Arabidopsis thaliana: one gene and its partners. The protein of the gene in region 1 interacts with the protein of each later gene in a pairwise test. Each region holds a gene or a part of one and is shown in the gene's direction. Other genes may lie near its edges. The genes, in order: SPA1, COL1 and CRY2.

Evidence for each region.
Region 2: the proteins of SPA1 (region 1) and COL1 interact in binary tests that used the Arabidopsis thaliana proteins (3 or more experiments, as listed by UniProt).
Region 3: the proteins of SPA1 (region 1) and CRY2 interact in a two-hybrid assay, tested with the Arabidopsis thaliana proteins (4 studies listed by BioGRID, with this or other methods).

What each region holds. Positions count from the first base shown.
Region 1 is NC_003071.7:19,022,955-19,031,240, reverse strand, and holds the start of SPA1 (SPA (suppressor of phyA-105) protein family), read left to right. Parts: upstream 1-3,712; 5' UTR 3,713-4,079; exon of another isoform or gene 4,080-4,274; intron 4,275-4,361; 5' UTR 4,362-4,419; coding exon 4,420-5,823; intron 5,824-6,124; coding exon 6,125-6,282; intron 6,283-6,534; coding exon 6,535-7,345; intron 7,346-7,547; coding exon 7,548-7,694; intron 7,695-7,852; coding exon 7,853-8,170; intron 8,171-8,257; coding exon 8,258-8,286. Other genes in the region: AT2G46360 (uncharacterized protein), read right to left, coding at 2,441-2,734. UniProt on the Arabidopsis thaliana protein: Controls normal photoperiodic flowering and regulates circadian rhythms. Required for suppression of photomorphogenesis in dark-grown seedlings and for normal elongation growth of adult plants.
Region 2 is NC_003076.8:5,173,691-5,181,976, reverse strand, and holds COL1 (CONSTANS-like 1), read left to right. Parts: upstream 1-4,079; 5' UTR 4,080-4,503; coding exon 4,504-5,220; exon of another isoform or gene 5,221-5,329; coding exon 5,330-5,680; 3' UTR 5,681-5,886; downstream 5,887-8,286. Other genes in the region: PCME (prenylcysteine methylesterase), read left to right, coding at 714-991, 1,253-1,329, 1,463-1,532, 1,662-1,742, 2,002-2,076, 2,173-2,274, 2,367-2,504, 2,594-2,659 and 3 more; AT5G15853 (uncharacterized protein), read right to left, coding at 3,670-3,870. UniProt on the Arabidopsis thaliana protein: Putative transcription factor that may be involved in the light input to the circadian clock but does not affect flowering time.
Region 3 is NC_003070.9:1,184,622-1,192,907, reverse strand, and holds CRY2 (cryptochrome 2), read left to right. Parts: upstream 1-4,211; 5' UTR 4,212-4,721; intron 4,722-4,834; exon of another isoform or gene 4,835-4,901; 5' UTR 4,902-5,006; coding exon 5,007-5,319; intron 5,320-5,423; coding exon 5,424-5,648; intron 5,649-5,743; coding exon 5,744-6,456; intron 6,457-6,601; coding exon 6,602-7,189; 3' UTR 7,190-7,396; downstream 7,397-8,286. Other genes in the region: AT1G04420 (NAD(P)-linked oxidoreductase superfamily protein), read right to left, coding at 73-190, 335-495, 611-694, 874-969, 1,050-1,274; c-NAD-MDH1 (Lactate/malate dehydrogenase family protein), read left to right, coding at 1,641-1,683, 2,003-2,161, 2,268-2,443, 2,601-2,878, 2,968-3,103, 3,196-3,307, 3,396-3,490.

The sequences.
Region 1 (8,286 bases):
TGTTGTCACGATTCTTAGACGTCTTCTTTCTATGTTGTTTAGCTTCACAAATCACAATTAGCCAATGGAATTACACATTAGGTATCAAACATTTCAGCAAAATATGTATAACTTACTACTTTTTAATATTGAGTGTGACACCTATAATAATCATTTCCTACCAAATGATCAGTCAATTTACGCCAACAAACATTTTAAAATTCTTTATAAAACTATTTATGTATATATATATATATATATATATACTTGTTTGTGGACCAAACATGTAATCTAATTGCTTGTGTTAATTAATGACATTGATGTGTCATGCAACATCCAAAATCAGACCTGCATAATGCATTGACAAATATTTATGTAAATACTTATCAGATATTTTCTTCCTCATTACTATATATATAATTCCAATCATCAACAAATAGTCTAGGTCAATCTTTTTTTTTTGTCTAAATTTCTAGGTCAATCTATGATTTAAAGTTTGCTTGTAACTTCATGTAATGAGAATTTTTTAACGTTCATAATGTTATTTATATTTATTTATAATTTTCAGATTATATACGTGGGAAAAATGAAAATACAATAACCATATGAGCGATCATTTTCTAGCGTAGTCTTGTTGAAATATTACAAAACGAATTTTAAATCTGAAGGTAATTACTAATTAGTGTAATAATTTATTATAAGTACCTCTATAATCCATGGCTTTGCTTTTATGACGTTTTACCCATTTCGTTGACCACGTCAAATCGTTACAAAAAGGGTTGTCTTCACTAGAATAATGGTTGCTAACTTGCTATTTGCATTCAATAAACCAATCAAATAATTGAATGAAAAGGTAAAGAGGGTTAGAACTTAGAAGGAAAAGTTTAATGAATATTATATAGCCGAAATAATAGCTAATGAAGATTCACGCACGTATCAAATGATTGAACCTTAATCACATTTGACATTTTTAACAGTCGACCATATTCTAGTGGTTAATTTCATAATTATTGCGTAACTCTTCGTTGTATTAAAATTATCTGTTAAATAATAAAGAATATTGCCCTTTAACATATATGTATTATTTTACTATTCAGTATCATGTTTTACTAGTTTAGGTTGTAAAAAAAAGTTATACATATGTCATCTCTATATTTTAAAAATTATTTTGGTATCATCTTATGAAAGACATATTTTAATTTTATTATTGTTTTGGCGGTTTTATTGTTTGTAATATACAAATCAGTCACAATGTACATTTATCCAAAATATAATAACAAAGAAAAACTAAAACATAAGATAATAATCAAATGGATGAAAATTAATGAAATTGTCATAATAATGGAGAGCGTGTCATAATTCATTAGTGACAAACCCAAACCTCTTATTGCATAGTGACCAAAATTGGGTTTTGCGAAAACGACCCCTCATTTACTACCCAATTCCGTTTCCGGCCACTTTTTATATCATTCCTTTTTATCACTCTTTTGTTTGTTTTCAAGTCACATCTTCTCAACGAAGACCGGAGCCCTCGTGTGAACATCTTTTCCCTTCGACGGCTAGCCGAAATTTTTAAAGATATAACACTCTGATCTCAACAAATTAAATTTTTCATAATAACACTTCGTCCAAAAACTCTACCATTACATTTAAACGTGTTGTATATAAATATGATATATCATTGTAGTATTATGAATTTACAATTCAGGGTATATTATGGAATATAGGACCGACCAAATCAAATTTTTATTCGAAATTTAATTTTATAGATTATGCTGATTATCAGTTTGGGTTTTATTTCCAAGTTCACATGTTGAGAGAATACAAAAACAAAACAAAGCTAAAGGGATTATATATGGATTAGGTTGTGGATGTCAACTAGTTATTAAAATAATGTTAGATTAAGGGATAGATTAGGTAAAGGTAAGTAGCTGTTAATCATGTTAAATATTATTATTTTAGGTTGTGGTTCGTCTAAAAGGAATCTCCCTATGATTTACGAATCCGAAATAGAGAGAGGAGGATTTTCATGTTATTGTGGTGGAGGAGCTAGGGTCGTGTCAATGCTGCTTTTGGTTCATTGTTTAAGAACAATGATCATAACACGATAAGATTGATGAATGAAACGTTTCTATCTGATATACCACACAAATTTAACTAAGCATCACAAATCCGAATTAGAGCAGAGAAAATAATACAACATGTTGCTGGTTAGGTTGAAACATTGAATTTGCATCTCTTCTATAGTTGATACAAGATTGGATACATCTTCGTTACAAAGCGAATACTTGCTTACATTTAATTACGCCAAAAAATCTCTTCATTTTCATCTTTTACAGTTAATTAATAATGAAAAGATCTGTTCATCTTTATATATAGTGATCAATAACAAAAAAATTTGAATCCAATAAATATAATTGAACTCAGGTTCTGGGGGCAATCACAAGTCAGTCATGCGCCTTCACATTTTCCTGTAATGCCTGAATTCTTTAGCCATGGGCTGAAGCACGTGAGTCCTTTTCTCCATCAACTTTGTATCCTTCATAAACCTCTTGTTTGCACGTGCTCTAGATTCACGAGCCTCGTGTGCAACATGGTCTCTTCTCTCTTTCTCCAAACCATTCTCATCTTCCTTCTTCGTAGAAAGCTGAGAGAGAAGCACCACCATGAGATTTACCTCCATCAGAGAAGTTTTCTCGTCTTCTCTTTTCTCCTCCGCATCATGTTTACGATTGGCTTCGCGAGACGAATCCATAAACCCAAAAAGAAGACCCAAAAATGATACAATTATTGGGAGCTATTAGTCCCTAAATTAGCCCGTCTTTTGGACAAAATTTTTATCTTCTTCTTTTTTTTTTCTTGTGGTCATTCATAGTAACTAATTAAATCAATTTGCAATTTTTTGAGTGGTATTGGTATATTTTCCATCTTAAAGACTCGATGGTAGAGAAATAAGATTCCTAAATTCATTAGTCACAAGATCGACCAATTTTTATTTTTATTTTTCTTATCTCAAATGTTTCGTTTTGAGAACAACCAAACATTTAACCATTGATAAAATTGGCCAATGGCTAAAATGAATGCCTTTTCATTGTTTTTTTGACATCCTAAAATAAATGCTTAACTAATGGGTTTATGGAAAACAAAAGTTGTGTCCAAGTTATAAGCGAAGCAGCCCATAAAAGTATTAAAATGGGCTGAGCCCAATAACTGATAGGTGGAGTATATTAGTTTAAATTGTGTTTGTTGTACAAAGTTTCCCAAATGGGTTTCCAAAATGGGCTGAGCCCAAAAAGTGTTGTTATAGGTGAGGGTATATTAGTTTATTCGCAAAAAAAGCGTGGCTTAATAATCTCCACATCTTTCACGTGACCCCCCTCGAATGGCGAATAGATTAAGCGACGTCGACGTGTTTTAATCTCCTCCTCTTAACAAATATCCCTAAAGATTACTTCCCCCATGCAACACTCTTAATACCCACGCTTTTCCTCTTTATTTACCATCCTACCCCTATACTCACACATATCGTTTAACCAGAGAGGAAAAACCTGAGTGGCATAATCCGTAAATAAGACCAAAAAACAGGACCATCTCTAAAGCTGATGTCACTAATCAAAAGATTATGAACGTAATCTCGTGTCATAATCCTTTTGACCTCTTACTTAAACAAAACAAGTATAATAATTGGGCAGCCAAAATAAAAAATCTTTCTCTCTTTTTGCTATAAAGTAATGAAAAAATTAAATAAAATAATGTTCAAAAAATTGTCCGCCAGAATAAAGAAAATTTGATATGTGGCTTCAAAGCCTAAATTAATCATTAAAATAAAAAATCAGAAAATAAGGAATGAAGAACGAATTGTGCAAAAGTCTATAGAGAAAGAGAGATTCATTTGTGTTTCTTCGACTATACACAGAATACAAAAGAGATATTATATGTAATTATCAATAGTATATGACAAATTTATAGCCTCACCTTTCTTCTTCTTCTTCTTCTTCTTCTGTGTGTTTTTGAATTTGCTTTCTTCAAGAGGTTTCTTCTCCACACCGCTTCGGTGTATGATCTGATTGTGATCTCTCTCGATATCTGGGATCTTCGGGGTAAGCGATTTGATTTTTGTGTATTTCTCGTTTCTCGTAATCTTCATGATTGGTTTTAATAGTTTGCTGCGATTTTACATAATCTTCTTCTGTTTTGATTAGCTACTTTAGATTACAGCTAATGATACGTTTCGGGATTAGTGATTATTGTATGTTTAACTAGTTTTAGAATCTCTACATGCATGAATTTACTAGGTAGGGCTTCTTTCTTCTTCTTCTTCTTCTTCTTCTTCATTTTGTTGGTTTGATTCTGATTTGTTTTTGTATTGTATATGATTTAAGGTATGGAGGCTGTAGATTATTATTATTATTACGTGTGGTGCTGATGCAATGAGTGTTGATGCCTGTTATGGAAAGAGTAGCTGAAGAAACTGTGGCGACTAACAACATACAATTGAAAGCACGAGTGGATGATGTTCCTTGTAATAAGCTTGATGCTCGTCATAACGATATGGTGATTCAATCAGAAACTGCAAACAGTGATTGTCCTGGAAGCTCAGCTCACAGGAATGTTGATTTGACTAAGCCGCCGCCTCCTGAGGAAGCCGCAGGAGCTAAGCTTTCTGTTGAAGAGTTGACATTGGGGAACTACAGGATTGTTCAAGGGAGTAATAATACTAATGTGGATAGTCCTAGGGCTGGCAAGTTTGAGCATCTTTATCGTTTGGCTAGAGGGTCTGCTTTTAGGGCAGGAGATGGGGATCTTGATTCTCAACCTCGTGATATGGATCAAATGTTGTCCAGAATCAGACAACAGCTTGCTGGAGCTCCTTCTGAGAGGCAAAACTTGAAACCTTTTATGTCTAGGAGGAGCGATCAGAATCTTGAAGCTTTTTCTGAACGTCTAAGAGCAGCTGGTGAGAATAGTATTATGAATGCTCCTGCATTGATCAGTGAAGGTGTCCAAATGAAAACGCCGGTGAGTTCTTCGAATTTTTCTCAGTTGTTACTTAAAAGAGCTATGAAAGGGAAAGGGGTAGTAGGAAAGAACCAGGAAACTCCTCCTGAATTTGTCTCTGATCAAGATTTAGGAAGCAAGGAAAAAAAGTTGGATATTAGCAAGTCGCCTACTCCTCACGATGTGTTACCTCTAAAATCAAGTCCCAAAGGAAATGGTATGGTATCACATGGTGATGGGAATCATAGTAAATCTTCTATTGGAATCAGTTTGAGGGAGTTTCTTAGATCAAGTTATGCTAAAAGAGAAAAAAGACATGGCCTTTGTCTATTTAGGCAGCTGGTGGAACTGGTTGACTCAGCCCATTCAAAAAGATTATTCTTGCTAGACTTGAGACCATCCCTTTTCACTTTAGTTCCATCAAAGAAACTTAGATATATTGGTAATTTTGGAAAGAACGATCTAGAATCAGATGTTGACGAAGATTTGAATAGGAGGAGGCCTGTTGTTGAGGAATCATCTAGTGGAGGTAGGGATTCGAAGAAAAGAAAAATGGACTTGCATTTGAATTCTCCAGGGAATCAACTTCAGGCCACTTCAACCGGGCGACCTTTCAAAAGGAAAAGCCCTGTGATTGATTTAAACATGGTTGATGCACGTAATCCAGACAGTTGCGAGCTTCAACAGCAAGACTACATAAAAAATTTAAGCGTGTCTTCAGTGTCGAGAAAACAGTCTATGTCCACATGGCTAGAAGAGCAATGGTATACTTGTCCAGAGGAGATAAATGGAGAAGATATTGGAGAAAAATCAAATATTTATGCCCTTGGTGTTCTTCTGTTTGAGGTATGGACGAATACCCAGTTTTATTGTTGTGGATAGATTTTTAGTTTGCTTTAATACCAAGAAGGATGTAACATTTCCTTGCATTTGAACACTATGTACTGTCATATCCTGCTTATGTGGGCTTTGGGTAGTTTATATTCTTTCATTTTCATGAAATTTCTTACTCTAGTCTGAACTTTGAATCCCAGAGCTAGTATTTTCCAGTCTGCAGTATATAACTTGTCAGTATTTTTGTTTACTTGTTTGATACTTTCATGTGAAGACGCCTACTGACATCTAGCTTGACCAATTGTTGTTTCAGTTGCTATGCCATTGCGAGTCAGGCGAGATGCATGCTGCAATGATGGCAGATTTACGCCATCGGATTCTCCCACCAACATTTCTCTCGAAATACCCGAAGGAAGCTGGATTTTGTCTTTGGCTTCTACATCCTGAACCCTCCTCCCGACCATCAGCTAGGTATTTAGCTGAGTGCTACTCTTTTATGATTCATGTGGGCGAGTATTTACTAGGAGTCTAGGAGTGGTACAAAGGAGAATCTGTAGACCTTCCATTAGCTTAAATAGTCGTATTTAAGATTTCTTTGCCGGATATCTTCAATTTTATTTAATGTTTTCCCGCTTAATTGTGAAGAAAAAAAATGGCATGCTACTGTGTGAATTATCTTCTTGTTTCTTTTTCTGTTCTCATTCTTTTCTCTTTATGTGACAGAGATATACTAAAGTCAGAGTTGATATGCGAGGATGATTCAGTTAAATCGACTGCTGCTGCTGAGGAGATATCTGAGCTGTTACTTCATTTTTTGTCTTCATTAGAAGTGCAGAAGAAGAAAAAAGCATCTAAACTTTTGCAAGATATCCAGACCTTAGAGGATGATATTAAGGAGGCCGAGCGAAGATATTCTTCAAATGTATCTCTGGTGAGATCTCATGGAGCTATTGAAAAAAGGGTGCAATCATCTCCCCTAGACGAGCACTGTACAACTTCCAGTGCCTTGTTTGTACCAACTGCTAATACAGACAGGCTGATGAGTAATATCCGTCAACTTGAAGATGCATATTTTTTCATGCGATCACAAATCAACTTATCGAGTTCTGCTGCTACTGCCCGTTCTGACAAAACACTAAAGGACAGGGACAGATGCTCTGAAAACCAAAATGAAAATCAGGATATGAGTACCAAAGGAAAATCTTCAGATCAACTCGAAGTGTTTTTCGAGGGGTTGTGCAAATTTGCTCGGTATAGCAAGTTCGAAACCTGTGGGACAATAAGAAGTGGGGACCTTTTAAACTCTGCAAGTGTGGTCTGCTCGTTGAGTTTTGACCCTGATGAAGAACACATAGCAGCAGCTGGGATATCAAAGAAGATCAAGATTTTTGACTTCAATGCATTTATGAATGAATCTGTCGGTGTTCATTATCCACTAGTAGAGATGGTCAACAAATCTAAATTAAGCTGTGTTTGCTGGAATAGCTACATCAAAAACTACTTGGCCTCGACTGACTACGATGGTGTAGTTCAGGTACCTATCGATGTCAAGTTTGGAATCTTTCTTATTTACCATCATATGTTGCACGGTAGGATCTATAGGACTAGCCTCATGTGCTTTCTCTTCCTCTATGAGATGTGTACATGTTAATCTTGTGATAAGATAGAGATATAGAAGCGTCTATTTCATGGTTTTCACTTGCCATTTTCTTACTGTATGGTGCTAATGAATGTAGATATGGGATGCCGGCACTGGACAAGGATTTTCGCAGTACACAGAACACCAGAAGAGAGCCTGGTCAGTTGATTTTTCTCCATCTGACCCGACAAAATTTGTTAGTGGAAGTGATGACTGCTCGGTGAAGCTTTGGAGCATCAATGAGGCACTTCTCTTTCCTTTACCTCCTGATATTGCAAGAATTTTCATGTCCCCGTTGTTTTTATTACTCCAGATTATAGCTCCATAAGGCATGATTCTCTGTTTATACTTGTGAATTTCCAAATCTAGTGAAACTTATATTCTTCTCTGTTTGGTATGCAGAAACGTTCATTAGGCACAATCTGGAGTCCAGCAAATGTGTGTTGCGTGCAATTCTCTTCTTATTCCAATCACTTATTGGCATTTGGGTCAGCTGATTACAAGGTCTATTGCTATGACCTTCGGTATGTCAAAACACCTTGGTGCACATTGGCTGGTCATGAGAAAGCGGTGAGTTATGTTAAATTTATGGATTCAGAAACCATTGTTTCTGCTTCCACTGATAACTCTCTCAAGCTTTGGAATCTTAACAAGACAAATTCCTCTGGTTTATCTCCTGGTGCTTGTTCATTGACATATAAAGGACATACAAATCAGAAGGTTAGTCCCAAAAACTTTTCTATCTACCTTTAACATCTCATCCAACATCATTAGTTAGTTCTGATGTCTAATCCTTTACCTGTGCAGAATTTCGTTGGATTGTCGGTTTTGGACGG
Region 2 (8,286 bases), on another chromosome or scaffold:
TGCTTCATGATCATCGAGTAATAAGTTTTTTTTTTCGTTTCAAGAAAATATGTTTTTTGTGTGGATTTTGTTTCTGATGAAATGATGGAATAGACGTGGCTGCAAGTTTGGATAAGGTGGCTCGGCTCCACTCCGGTTTATCTTTTGTTTACCCAAATATAGATTTGTTTTGTTTTGGTCACTGGTAATATCGAAGTATCGAATACGTCTGTCTGTGATGCTCGTATAAAATAAAACCAGTGGTATGGTTGTAGTGGTTGGTGGATCGTGATTCGTGAACTTTCTCTTAGATTCGGAAATATTCGTCACACTTTGGGCCCACGAGTTTTAGCATTTTCCGAACGTGGTAAAGCCCATGATTTGCTAATACTAGCTTCCAAAGTCGTCACACTACTCCATCCAATCACAAATGAAATGACTAACAAACATTTTAGAATAATCAATATTTTGCGAATAATTTCATTACTGTCTGACATTTGATTCTCTTTAATCACACATCATTACATGATCAAACGTCATCAATAAGAGCTAAGAACGTCGTCGTCTTGTACAAACTTTTGGTTATATCTACACACTACTTTACTACATTCCTCGTGTAGAAGGAAATGGAAAGCGCACAAAAGCGAAGATAACAAAAAGAGTTTGAAATTCAAAAGAGAAGAGCAACACGAAGAATCTTGGAATTCGAGATCCACTATTTCACGGCGGAAAAGATGCATTCGCCTCTTCAGACTCAGCAGCCGGAGCAGCGATGCTGGCCGATGACCTCGACGGTATCGGAGATCGAGGAAGTTCTACCCGATGAGGACTCCGATAGAACGACTCTTCTTAACGGTGAACCGTTACGTCGTCGAGTTTCCGGGAAGTCGCCGGTTGACGAAGGACCTCGTCGGATTTTCCGGCAGCAATCGTTCGGTCGCGATATCGGCCACGCGGCAGCTGAAACGTATCTAATTACTGGACTTAGCTTCAAGCTTCTTCGATACCTCGGGTACTGATCTCGATTGTCCCTGTTTTTGGATTTAGGTATATTGATGATTACGCTTAGGGAGGTAATTCGTGTAGATATTAGCTGGCTTTGCCTTGCTCTGCAAAGAATCCAATGATATATAAAAGTTCTCTGTCTTTTATTTTGGAACTTTACTCTAATTATGAAAGTTACTCCATGTGCTGTTGTTTTGCTCTTGTTTAACTTCTTCTTTTTATATTTCCAGTTGAGCAAGGATTGATCTAATTGTTAAGTTTTGTTCAGGGTAGGCTATCGATGGATGACAAAATTACTTGCCCTTACATGTTATGCTATGCTTCTTATGCCTGGCTTTCTTCAAGGTTTGATTTTTTTTTTTTTTTCTTTGCTGATAAATAAATTCATAGAAAGGATTTTTCCTTTTGATTAAGATGTTGTTTTAATTGGAAAATTAGTCTTTGATTCCTCGTCTCAAGTTTGTATTATCTTGTGCAGTTGCATATAGTTATTTTTTCTCAAAGCAAGTCCGGAGGAGTATAGTGTATGGAGATCAACCAAGGAACAGGTTTGTGTGTGAACTGAATAGAATCTTACCTTCTCCTTTCACATCGGCCTTAAGTGGTATGTTGAATGCCTGCTTTTATCACATCACCTTTGTCTTGAGATTATTGATGTATGAACGGTGATTTGATAGGCTGGATCTGTACTTGCCAAGCAACAACGATGGCTTGAAGCCGGTTGTGGTTTTTGTGACGGGTGGAGCTTGGATTATTGGGTGGGTTGCACATCAGATTTACAGCATTCTCTTCTGCATAATGTTGAAATTTGTTTGTTTTACAATTTCTCGTGTCCCACTTATAGAAGTTTTCCCCTTCACTGTTCTTTTGTTGATGTTTGAGTTACAAAAAGAAAAAAGTAAAGATCATGATGGGCTCTGTATTCTTATCTCACTGACTCACTCAAGTTTCATCTTCTTGTACTAGCTGGTTGCTTGTTAATAAGTTCATGTTTGCTAATCTTGTACTGATATTTAGGTACAAAGCTTGGGGCTCGCTCTTGGGAATGCAGCTAGCAGAAAGAGATATCATTGTAGCATGCCTTGACTACAGGTAAACAAATTACACAATTCAAAAAACTAGTCGTCTTTTATGAATATAGGAAGAACTTTCATGCATTTACCAAGCAATCCGTTCTTTATGGTATAGGAACTTTCCTCAGGGAACAATTAGTGATATGGTGACTGATGCTTCTCAAGGAATCTCATTTGTCTGCAATAACATCTCTGCATTTGGAGGTGACCCCAACAGGTTTCATCTCATTGGCTTTGTTTTTATTTACCATTTGATCTTCCAATTGGTCTCTCGGCTATTAAACTGCATGTATCTGCTTGTCTCTCTAGGATCTACCTGATGGGGCAATCAGCTGGTGCCCATATAGCCGCTTGTGCTCTATTGGAACAAGCTACTAAAGAATTAAAAGGAGAGAGCATCTCCTGGACAGTGTCCCAGATAAAAGCTTATTTTGGATTATCTGGAGGGTATCTTCTAAGCTTTTGGATTCCCGTTGGCTTCTATGTGCTTTTTGGTCTACAGCAATTGATCTGCTTATCATTTTGAACTTCAATAGGTACAATCTATACAAGTTGGTTGATCACTTCCATAATCGGGGTCTGTATCGCTCGATTTTCCTAAGGTAAATGCTTGGTTAACCAAATCCTAAACGCAGTCTGATCAGATCTAATGTTCAACTCCAACTTGCAGCATAATGGAAGGAGAAGAGTCCTTTGAGAAATTCTCTCCGGAAGTAAGACTGAAAGACCCAGTTGTTGGAAAAGCTGCTTCTCTTTTACCTCCTATTATACTTTTCCACGGATCCTCAGATTATTCCATACCATGCGATGAAAGGTATATATGATCATCTTCTTGAAGTGATACATTACTGATGAAACCTTTTGGGATACTAAAACCACCTCGTTTGCAGCAAAACTTTTACAGACGCTCTGCAAGCTGTTGGAGCAAAAGCCGAGCTTGTTTTATACAGCGGAAAGACACATACTGACTTATTTCTTCAGGTAAGCCACATAAATCAGTCAACTTACCTTACATTGTGTCACACACACAAACACTTAGCTCAGTGTGAGTACAATAAAACTCATGAGAGTATTGTTTATAGGATCCCTTACGAGGAGGTAAAGACGAACTCTTTGATGACATAGTCTCTGTGATACATGCGGAGGACAATGATGGGCTGACCAAAGACTCGTTGGCTCCTCCCAGAAAGCGTCTTGTACCAGAGTTGTTACTGAAACTGGCTCGTGAGATTAGCCCTTTCTGACTGCCAAGAAAGGAAAACAAGCTTTGTTTGTTGATCCTCAGTTTTTACCTTTGTTAGTTGCTGTGTTTTTAATTGCATCAGTAGAACATCATGTAAATAAAAACAAACTTTGTTGCTCCACCAAATTTATTTGACCCATGTAGATTTGAACACATGAATATGATTACTTCCACAAGTTTGAAATCTAATAAAAGCTAGTAAAGATAATATCGAGTTTTATCATATTCTCAAAAAGGTGATTGAGATGTGACAAACACTTGATAGACTTATACATGTTTTGTAACTATGAAATATGATGGTGATCATAAGCAAATTGGACTTGTATAAACAGACCACAGGTGATGTTGATATAACTATCGTTATTCACCTTAATTTGGACCCACCATTTGCTTCAACTTGTGGCTCCTAATCTCTAGAGACTCGTAGCGACTTGGCAGATTCCAATTGGCTCCTTGGATCTCCACCGTTGGCCAAATCAGCTTGACCGACTTGATGTGGAAGGAAACAAAGTTAGGACATGCCATATCTATTATCTCCAACATATCACCAAAAAAGACACCTAGCATCATTCGAAGATAACAAATGGTTAAGAGTCATAATCTTTTTAACAATGCTAAACAGTGATCATTTAATTTTTATAATTGAAATCATGAGACGATGAGAGAAACCTGAACAGTTAGAACATGGCAAAAGTTAAGAATCAAGATAAACATTAGGCTAATGGTCAAGCCAAAGAGCTACTAAAGTTTCCAGCTTTACCAAAATAGTAGTAGATGATACAAAAATAGTTAGAAGTTGCACGTTTCAGAACCTAGGTAACATGTGGATGGGTCCTATAGAAGATTACATAGGAAGAGGTGTTTACACTTATTGAGGAAGAAAGAGAGAAAAAGTAGTAACTATTGGTGCCATTGCAAAGATATAAGAAGACAATTAGTTTTTTTCTTTCTTTCACATTTCGTGCTGGTTGATGATTCCAAAGCTGTAAGCATCTCTGCACTGGACCCCTTCTCAAAAACTCAGCCAGCCACAAGATGATCACTCAACATCAAACCCACAAACTTCTCGCCACGTGTCCAGCCCTCAGAATTCTATCCTTCCTTTCCATTTCCATTCAACAACTAATATAGCCTTCTTAGTCCCCTGCTGCCTTTACATACGATCTCACTCACCATCAAACAACTACAACATCTGCGGTTAGTATGTTGAAAGTAGAGAGTAACTGGGCACAAGCCTGTGATACATGCCGATCAGCCGCCTGCACCGTGTACTGCCGGGCTGATTCTGCCTACTTGTGCTCCAGTTGTGATGCTCAAGTTCATGCTGCCAATCGTCTTGCTTCCCGCCATGAACGTGTTCGAGTCTGTCAATCATGTGAGCGAGCCCCGGCTGCCTTTTTCTGCAAGGCAGATGCTGCATCTCTATGCACAACCTGTGATTCAGAGATTCATTCCGCAAACCCACTTGCTAGACGCCATCAACGAGTTCCAATTCTGCCCATTTCTGAGTACTCTTACAGTTCCACGGCCACTAACCATTCATGTGAGACAACAGTGACAGATCCAGAGAACAGACTTGTGCTTGGTCAAGAAGAAGAGGATGAAGATGAAGCAGAGGCGGCTTCATGGTTGTTGCCTAATTCAGGGAAAAACAGTGGTAACAACAATGGCTTCTCGATTGGGGATGAGTTTCTGAACCTTGTTGATTATAGTTCGAGTGATAAGCAATTCACAGATCAATCCAATCAGTATCAACTAGACTGCAACGTACCTCAGAGGAGCTATGGGGAAGATGGAGTTGTTCCACTTCAAATTGAAGTATCAAAGGGCATGTACCAAGAGCAACAGAACTTTCAGCTGAGTATCAACTGTGGCTCCTGGGGAGCTCTTCGAAGCTCCAATGGTTCCCTCAGTCATATGGTAAGCTTTCATATATTTAATTCAGATCCGTTACTATGACCAGCATGCTGCTTCTTTCACACAAATCCATGAAGTAAATTTCTAAGAATGTCTTTGTTACTGTCATTAGGTGAATGTTTCATCTATGGACCTGGGAGTTGTGCCGGAGTCAACAACGAGTGACGCAACAGTATCAAACCCAAGATCGCCCAAAGCGGTAACAGACCAACCACCTTACCCTCCAGCTCAGATGCTCAGTCCAAGGGACAGAGAAGCTAGAGTCCTGAGATACAGAGAGAAGAAGAAGATGAGGAAATTTGAGAAGACGATAAGATATGCTTCAAGGAAAGCGTATGCAGAGAAAAGACCACGGATCAAGGGCCGGTTTGCAAAGAAGAAAGATGTCGATGAAGAGGCAAACCAAGCTTTCTCCACAATGATAACATTTGACACCGGATATGGAATTGTTCCATCATTCTGATGCTGCTATGGCAAAACTAGACTGCATGCTTGTAAATTACTTCTGGTTTGAAATTCCTGCAAGTTATTACCACGGTTTTATGCATATAGGGTCTGTAGTTTACTAGTTTTGCCTAACTAGTACGAGTTAATTAGATATACACTCATACTTAGCTGCTGTAAGTTAATACAAATTTTGCCCACTTGGTAGAAGTCCTCTTATCTATGAAATACTGCCCTACAGTCTAAATTCAAACTGATGCTACAAAGAGATATGCATTAGTATAGCTAGCTGTACCAAGAACAGTCAACACGTAACTCACCTTGCCTAAGTTCAAAGTTAATGATTCCTTTCTTGGTGACACTTTCCACATCACTTTATCACGTAGAAGATAAATGATTCCACTTATGCCGCCCCAAAGACAATTTCGCACATCCCTGAGAAAAGAAAGTTGTACTCAATATGATTTTATACCAAAAGTAGATTACAGAGACAAGTGTAAACATGTAAAACTCCAATAAAATCACACACTGAATAGTCAGGTAACAAATAACCAAGAATCCTGAGTGAACAATGCTAATAGGTACAATTACATCAACGCATATTCTTGTACTGATTAGTGATTAGCATTGGTGCTAAATCCATTCCCACGAGGTTGTCTCGGATAACAAGATTCTATCACTCACAACCACTACTAGCAGAATATGTCAATGCCTATGGACCATCCAAATGAACAAAGATATTCAGTGTGAGAAATCTATTTCTTGGTCTATCTTTTAGAATAATAGCTCACTTTTTCCAAGGTATATACTGGCACTAAAGAATAACGACGCAACCAAAAGAAAAAGGGTGACACTGTAAAGCCTTCACTTTTTGCCACCTGGAAAGGGCCAGAGATCAACTTATTTACCACTAGGATAGCTTCCCACTTCAACGGTTAAGCTGATGAATTCATGTACCAAATCAATACTTTTTAGCCATAAATGAGTCAGTTTTAGTATCCACATGAATTTACCTACCAGAGTGTTGTAAATTATGTTCTTTTGGGGCCACTTACATGGATCTCATTCATTCACTGCAGCGAGTTCTCAGACCACCAGAAAATTTATTCAGTGATCTGTTTTGATCATGCAACATAAACTTATAAGCCACACAAGCAAAACAAAGATATCCCATGTTGCATATAATACGAGCTAGCATATCATAAAGAAGGAAACTTGAAGTAGCAAAGTTTCTACTAAATTTCTTGTCAGGAATTTTTAAAATGCAATGACAACCACTTGGAGCACTATGAGTTTCAGAGCCAATAGAATGTTACTATTTGGTGTGGATTCGAGCTAGCACGTGAAAGTGCATAAAAGTGATTACCTTTTGCCAAAGGTCACTGCACTTTTCCTCAGATAGTTTCTCACAGCCATGGAAAGTGGAGAATCCGCATAAACGTACAATTACAAGCTTTATATGGTCCCTCGACTCTTATTCTCTTCTCAGTCTTTGCAACTAAATAGGGTTTTCGTTAATCTGAAAGAAGCAAAGTATTCGAAACCACGGAAACCTGATAAAGAATGAAAACAAATAAGCAATAGTGTTTTCTTGAAAATCTCGATGCAACTTTGAGGATATTGTTACATATGATCTATTACTCGTAACAGTTATCCGAAGGCCTACACATGTGAGAGAAGTTCCAAACCGCTACAACAATAAACTTAATTAGAGACTGTCAACGAGCAATAATAAGCAAAACTACTTTTTTCTTGAGCTACAAGTGAAAAGGCCAATACACAATTTACTCTTCATGAACTCGAACCACGTTACAATCTCCAAAAAATTTCATCACCAAAGCACTAAAAGCCAAAGATGCCTCAACTTATCCAACTTGGCAGGATAAAGATCTCCAAAAATGCTTACTAAAGAACCTAGAATCTTTTCTTTAGAATTCAATGATCATATAACCATTTCATAACAATTCTAAATGCCATTACATTCATCGTAAAACCAGTAAATAACAAGAACTTGTATGTTAAGTTCCAATTACCAAGCAAAAAAAAACTTTTCAAAGTTTAAAGTTCAAAATGGGAAAGAGAAGTGCGGTGTAAGCAAATATGAAAGAGGAAGAGATGCGAAAAGTGTATCCTAGGACCAGCATTTTATACAAAAAAAAAACACTCACTTTTCAGCTCTTAAGGCATAGAGTGAAGGTAGCCATATGAATTTGGCCACTAGAGCGTCCGTCAAATCTCATTCTTTTTGGACCACATAATGGGTATCATACATTCACTGGACCCAAAAGCGTAACTGGAGCTAGTCCTCAAACCTAGAGAGTATCGTATCCTGTAGCTTCCACATAGTAAACATTATGAGCATAACACCAACAAGGCAACTCCAAGTACTAATGGTTATTAGTACAGGAAAACCCACGATGCTAAACACATGAATGGGTCACCAAATAGAGTGAAGATGGTTAAATTGCATCTATGGATCATGTGGACTAGTAAATGAGTGTAGCAGAAAACTTCACAATTACCTCTGTGATCTTAGAAACATGTCCTGAAAATTCCATACAAGTGTCGTTTGTATTAGATTACTTCCACAGGTTGAGATCTAATAAAGCTACAATAAATAGTATA
Region 3 (8,286 bases), on another chromosome or scaffold:
GAACACTTCAAAACTCTGTGTTTGAGGTTATATAACTCAATATAACATCTGATTTTTAAGGAGTAGCACTACCTTTCCTTCAACTATGAGATCCTGAAAGGCTCTTAGTTGCTCAGCGAATGGCACACTAGGTCTCCATTTCGACGTTTCATAGTAAAAATCACCGAAGAGTGGTACGTATCGATCTGGCCTGGACTGAAAAAAAGATCAGTGTCATGATTTTCTGACATTTGATGATGAAAAACGAAATATTTTGCGCATGAAATAGAAAGACACTTGCTCAAACAATGTAGAATATGAGTTAAGACATAAAGCAAAAATAAGGCGATGTTACCAGTGTATTTGAAGCAAGTCAATGTAATCAGTTCCAAGGCGCTTAAGACTTTTCTCAACACTTTCTTTGATATTAGCAGCATCTACACGCAGAATCTCACCACTGTCCCTTATGTAAGCTGACCTTTCTGAGTACCCACATACTTTAGTTGCCAAAACTATCTGTATACAGAAACAATGAACATCAATATCAATTTTTATAACTTCGATTAGGTTTTGCTGATATCATATACATTCGTGACCAATATGCATCCAAAGTATGATAAATGGTTGATACCTTGTCACGTTGCTGAGACTTCAACCAGCTACTGATATAAAGATCCGTTTTACCTTGCGTCTCCTTCTTCATCGGTATGGGATACTGGAAATAAACAATGATACTTGAAAATTTACCACAGACTAAGCAGATTCCAGAAAGCTAAACACAACAGTGCTAAATTCACCAGAATTATATATAAAGTATAAAACATTCACATAAACACTTGCAATCAAATTCACCAGGCAAGAAGAGAAAGATGAACAATGAAGATAAAAACTCACAGCTTCAGCAGTGTCAATGCAATTGATGCCCTCTTCAATTGCATAACTCAGCATCTCATGAGATTCTTTCTCAGTATTTTGCTCCCCAAATGTCATCTGAAATTCCAAATTTCATCAAAACTTCAAAATTGAACAATGGACTACAATTGCAGGAGATAAAGAGAGATTGTTCTTACAGTGCCCATAGTAACTTCGCTGATGTTGAGATCGGAATCTCCTAATTTCCTATACTCCATAGCATTCTTCGTCGACGCTTTCGCCGAAACTCTCAATATTCTCCTCCGAGCATTCGGCGATAGAGTAACACGGCGGCGCGTGAATGCCAAACGAAAGACTCCTCGAATGTTACTGCTGCTGACCACCGGAGTGACCGTTGAGTAGGTGACGTAAGATGACGCCATACCGGAGGTTGTCGTGGACGTGGTTCTTCTCGCCTTATCGCCACCATTATCTACTGTTTTGATTCACGTATTTGAATACTCTGGGCTAAACGATTTGGGCCTAATGTAAGAGGCCCATTAGAGTCAAAAATATATATTGAATAATATCTTGTTTTCCTAATATGATAGGTCTAATCTCAGATTTCGATTTATTTCTTCGAGATAATATGATTATATTAGATGACGTGGCGGTACATCCTTCGATATCTTCGATAAATACGCAAGAGTGAGCTTCACGGTCAGACAAAAGCTGACTCTACGCTCTCTCAAAAGTCGAATATCCCAAATTCGATCCGTTTTCCGGCGATAATCTCCGATCTAGATCCGATGGCGAAAGAACCAGTTCGTGTGCTCGTTACTGGAGCTGCAGGTATAACTTTCATCTATATCCGATTAGATCGTGTAACTTCTAGATCTCTGGCTAGTGAATCGCTTGCTGAATCTAGTCAGATCTCTGCATAGTATCTGGTTGTTCCATAGATCAATGAAATATAGGTCAACTCTTGTTCCGTTGGATTCAACGCTGACCAACGATTGATTGAGTTGGTCGCATATCTAATTTTAGTAAAAGTTATTTCATGGATCGAACTCTGATTTAGAAACCGTTGTTTATATAGTTGGATAGAGTTTAAGTTGTGACTTTAGATCTCCTCAGCTACTGAAAGTAACTATTGATTGTGATTATGCAGGACAAATCGGATATGCTCTTGTACCTATGATTGCAAGGGGTATCATGCTTGGTGCTGACCAACCTGTTATCCTCCACATGTTGGATATTCCTCCAGCTGCTGAAGCTTTGAACGGTGTTAAGATGGAGTTGATCGATGCTGCTTTCCCTCTTCTTAAAGGTAGTTAAGGGTTTTGTTTTGCTGTGGATATTTGCATTCCGTGTCATAAGTTGTTTTGTATAAGTGGGAAAGGAGAAGATGAATATTTGATGTGTATTATTATCAGGTGTTGTTGCTACAACTGATGCCGTTGAGGGATGTACTGGAGTCAATGTTGCTGTTATGGTTGGTGGTTTCCCGAGGAAAGAAGGTATGGAGAGGAAGGATGTGATGTCCAAGAATGTTTCCATCTACAAGTCTCAGGCTGCTGCCTTGGAGAAGCATGCCGCTCCTAACTGCAAGGTGATACGATCTGTTTGCTTTTTAAGTTAAATGAAGCCACTGCATCCAATCTTCTCTGTTCATTGGAGTGTAACAGATGCTTTGTGTTCTCTATTGGGTTCTAGTTTACGACTCTCTTGCTCACACATTCGCTCTCGTTTTGTCTTTTTTTTTTCAGGTTCTTGTTGTGGCCAACCCGGCAAACACCAACGCATTGATCCTCAAGGAATTTGCACCATCAATCCCTGAAAAGAACATCTCTTGTTTGACAAGGCTTGACCACAACAGGGCTTTGGGACAGATCTCTGAGAGGTTGAGCGTGCCAGTGTCTGATGTTAAGAACGTGATCATCTGGGGAAACCACTCATCCTCACAGTACCCAGATGTCAACCATGCTAAAGTGCAGACCTCGTCTGGAGAGAAGCCTGTCCGTGAGCTCGTCAAGGACGATGCATGGTATGTATAACATGCCATAGAACTTAAGACCCTTTCTCTTCTCTGGAAGCAAAATCTAGTTTCACTTAAATATATTGCTCATTCTGTAGGTTGGACGGAGAATTTATCTCTACAGTTCAACAACGTGGAGCTGCAATCATCAAGGCGAGGAAGTTGTCTAGTGCGCTCTCTGCTGCTAGCTCTGCTTGTGACCACATCCGTGACTGGGTCCTTGGAACTCCAGAGGTTCATAATAAAACTCTTCCCCGTTATTTGCAGTGCTGTTTTTTTGTAACAGTTAATCTAATATGAGTTCTTTCTTTGATTCAAATTGTCAGGGTACGTTCGTTTCCATGGGAGTATACTCCGATGGCTCTTACAGCGTTCCATCAGGACTTATCTACTCCTTCCCTGTAACTTGTCGCAATGGAGACTGGAGTATTGTCCAAGGTAAATATGACGCACTTACAAACTCAAATGCTCATCAATTATGAAATCCTAGATTCTGCAGACCCTAATGTGTATTTTGTTTGGTTAGGCCTTCCGATTGATGAAGTATCAAGGAAGAAGATGGATTTGACTGCAGAGGAGCTCAAGGAAGAGAAGGACTTGGCGTACTCATGCCTCTCTTAAACCCTTCTGGAGCAAAATTTTCATCTATAAGGTGTGAGATCAGTTAAAGCCTTTCAGGGCTTTGTCCGAATAAGAAGTGTGTTTGAAAGATCTCCAAACACTGTTTTATAACCTCTTTGGTCTCTTTGATGAGTATTGTCCCTGGTCTGTTTCTAAACCAGGATATCGTTTTTTTCAATGTGTCTGATTTGGTTTACCCATGAAAAGAAGAAAATTGGCAGTTGCATGGTTATCTTTTGCGATTATTTTTTTCTGCTTTAGCAATTAGCCCAAAATTGATGAGCTCTTCGATAATGGGTTTGTGCAATTGTGATTTGTGAGGAATGGTGTTATTGTGTTGCAATTGCAAAAAGAAATGCTACTCTTGCAGATTCATACCAAAACCAAATCACTAGATTAAACTGAAATTCTAATGTGGATTATTTTAATTTTACTTCTATTTTTCTTCACCCAAATATTTTATAACCAAACACCAAGTTGACACCAAAATATACATCCAAAAAACTTAGATTGCTTCTATTTTACGACTATCCGAAATCGAATCATAAACCGTAGGCAATGGTCCATTAATAAGGGGTATACGAGGATTCAAAGTTTGAGAGAACTTTTTTATCTTTACCTTTTTCCTTTTGTAAAGTAAAAGCAGTGGATTTTGATTATAGATTCTACTTGGTAATGACTAATGAGAATCAAGTTCTCACCTTTAAGCCATATAGACTTTAGATATTTAATGGATTCTACAAAAGTGGGCATGACCAGAATCGAGTTCATGAACCACCGTCCTCGGCCCCAACGTTAAAAAACTTTTTTCTCTAGCATAAGAAGATAAGAGTATCTTCACTGCGCTTTAGGCCCACTCAACATTCAAACAAAATTCGATCTCTTATAAAAAAATATCTCACAAGAGAAAGTTCGTACATGATCCCGATAAAATCGTAGATGAGCAAATCAAAGATGAGATGTCGGTAAAAAAAACGCTATTATAAGAACACACGCCACTAGTTGTGGATAAAGTTGTCTACTTTTGTCTCGTTGTGATTATTATATTGCACAATTATTAACATTCATACTCTCATATGGGTATTGTTTTTGGTCTCCGTTAGATCTCAAATCTTTAACTTTGCATACCCAAAATAGGAAGAAAGAAGAGTCAAGTCACTAAAATAACTTTCACAGTCTTTGATTCGAAGATCTTTGTCGCCGAGAGATATCCACTCTGATTTGAGTTCTGGTAAAAAGTTTCCAGCTTTTGATTTTTGTTTCTCTCAATTGAATTTCTCTTGCTTGCTCTGTTTAAAAGGATTAGGATTAAATCGAATCTCTCTCTGTTATGTTTTTTTGTAGATTATTTTGGATTTTAGGACTCAAAGATTACAGATTTCTTATCAATCATTCTCTGTTATTGTTATAGAACTATTCTCTGGAGGAGGTTGAGGTCTGAAATCATGGAACAACTTGGTTAGAGTGTGGAATTTTAGCTGATTTGATCTTTGATTCATCTGTGATCATAATAACTATGAAGATGGACAAAAAGACTATAGTTTGGTTTAGAAGAGACCTAAGGATTGAGGATAATCCTGCATTAGCAGCAGCTGCTCACGAAGGATCTGTTTTTCCTGTCTTCATTTGGTGTCCTGAAGAAGAAGGACAGTTTTATCCTGGAAGAGCTTCAAGATGGTGGATGAAACAATCACTTGCTCACTTATCTCAATCCTTGAAGGCTCTTGGATCTGACCTCACTTTAATCAAAACCCACAACACGATTTCAGCGATCTTGGATTGTATCCGCGTTACCGGTGCTACAAAAGTCGTCTTTAACCACCTCTATGGTATATACTCTTTCATCTCTTATTCAAAGGATATATATTCTTATTAAGTTAGTGTAGTCTAAGTGCAACTGAGGTTGATGCGATCACGTTTTTCTTTGTTGTAGATCCTGTTTCGTTAGTTCGGGACCATACCGTAAAGGAGAAGCTGGTGGAACGTGGGATCTCTGTGCAAAGCTACAATGGAGATCTATTGTATGAACCGTGGGAGATATACTGCGAAAAGGGCAAACCTTTTACGAGTTTCAATTCTTACTGGAAGAAATGCTTAGATATGTCGATTGAATCCGTTATGCTTCCTCCTCCTTGGCGGTTGATGCCAATAACTGCAGGTAAAACCTTAAAGAGTATTACTTAAAAGCTAAAACGTTTTTGATTTCTTCAGGACATAAGCGGTAGTAAAAGTTTATGGCTTTTTCTTTGTTAGCGGCTGAAGCGATTTGGGCGTGTTCGATTGAAGAACTAGGGCTGGAGAATGAGGCCGAGAAACCGAGCAATGCGTTGTTAACTAGAGCTTGGTCTCCAGGATGGAGCAATGCTGATAAGTTACTAAATGAGTTCATCGAGAAGCAGTTGATAGATTATGCAAAGAACAGCAAGAAAGTTGTTGGGAATTCTACTTCACTACTTTCTCCGTATCTCCATTTCGGGGAAATAAGCGTCAGACACGTTTTCCAGTGTGCCCGGATGAAACAAATTATATGGGCAAGAGATAAGAACAGTGAAGGAGAAGAAAGTGCAGATCTTTTTCTTAGGGGAATCGGTTTAAGAGAGTATTCTCGGTATATATGTTTCAACTTCCCGTTTACTCACGAGCAATCGTTGTTGAGTCATCTTCGGTTTTTCCCTTGGGATGCTGATGTTGATAAGTTCAAGGCCTGGAGACAAGGCAGGACCGGTTATCCGTTGGTGGATGCCGGAATGAGAGAGCTTTGGGCTACCGGATGGATGCATAACAGAATAAGAGTGATTGTTTCAAGCTTTGCTGTGAAGTTTCTTCTCCTTCCATGGAAATGGGGAATGAAGTATTTCTGGGATACACTTTTGGATGCTGATTTGGAATGTGACATCCTTGGCTGGCAGTATATCTCTGGGAGTATCCCCGATGGCCACGAGCTTGATCGCTTGGACAATCCCGCGGTAAACTACAAAACTTGTCTTATAGTTTAGAATTCAAAGCTTAATACCAGTTTTTGCTATGCATTCGTTTTTTATTTTATTTTTCAGCTTATTTGGTTTGGTTGATTTAGTTCTGAAGTCTATGAAAACTCTGTTTTTATTTCAGTTACAAGGCGCCAAATATGACCCAGAAGGTGAGTACATAAGGCAATGGCTTCCCGAGCTTGCGAGATTGCCAACTGAATGGATCCATCATCCATGGGACGCTCCTTTAACCGTACTCAAAGCTTCTGGTGTGGAACTCGGAACAAACTATGCGAAACCCATTGTAGACATCGACACAGCTCGTGAGCTACTAGCTAAAGCTATTTCAAGAACCCGTGAAGCACAGATCATGATCGGAGCAGCACCTGATGAGATTGTAGCAGATAGCTTCGAGGCCTTAGGGGCTAATACCATTAAAGAACCTGGTCTTTGCCCATCTGTGTCTTCTAATGACCAACAAGTACCTTCGGCTGTTCGTTACAACGGGTCAAAGAGAGTGAAACCTGAGGAAGAAGAAGAGAGAGACATGAAGAAATCTAGGGGATTCGATGAAAGGGAGTTGTTTTCGACTGCTGAATCTTCTTCTTCTTCGAGTGTGTTTTTCGTTTCGCAGTCTTGCTCGTTGGCATCAGAAGGGAAGAATCTGGAAGGTATTCAAGATTCATCTGATCAGATTACTACAAGTTTGGGAAAAAATGGTTGCAAATGATCAAAATAATGTGCTGTTATAAAGCCTAACATGTAGATGTGTGAATGTGTCTTTTAACTCTTTGTTTCCTTTTGGTTATACTCAAAAGGATATGATTGCATAAACATATAATGCTGATATTATTTCAATTGGCTATGAATAAAATATACATATTTGTTTAGTCTTTGAATTTGTTTCATCTGAGTTGTTTAGTTTGAGGAAAAAGATAACGGCCAATTTATATTTCTTTATAAAGAAAAGAAAGGAAATCTCGATACACGACGTTTTTATATGAAACAAATGCAGTTGGAAATAAAAGTAACAAATCATTGGTCTAAAAACCCCAATGAAAAATAGTAACTAAATGACTGAATACTACGGTAAGATTTTTTTAATTTCTATAAAAATATAAGATTTTTTTTGATGATTAAAATATTTTTTTATAATCAATTACAAATAATTATCATATCTTGAAAACAACAAGAATTTTTTTGATATAATAAAAATATTAAATTAAATTACAAAAATAAACGATACTAGAATTATATTTCATTGAAATTTCTTATATATATATATAGCTGATATTTTAATACAATTATTAATTTATGATATTGATGGGACTATATGTTTACATAGGATTTTCAAAAAAAAAATATTTTATTAATTTATCGATTTGTATCGCTTTTTACACTAGTCCCAAATACTGAAAGAATTTATTATTTTATAAAAATGATTAATTTATCGAATATTAATTTATAAAGGTTTTACTGTACTTGCATGGCACAACAACGAGAAAAAGTCCACGCGATAAAGCTTCAATGTCAGGAATCATCAGGCGTCGAAATGTTTGACAATGGCATCGGTTTCGTCCAGAGAGGAGTCGACGGGGCCTGGATGAGGGTCGACGTAATCGGAATTGTCGTGGAAAAGAGAGTAGAAGCAAGATCCGATTCGGATAACGTCTTCTTTACTATCAGTTTTGGTTCGTAACCATTATTTTTAATCATCAACCCCTCGAGTCACATCGGTGATGTCTCCGTCTACGAGGAGAAAAATGAAGAGACGATGAAAAGAAAGAGATGATTGCTATATAGGGGGTTCAAATGATAATTATATAC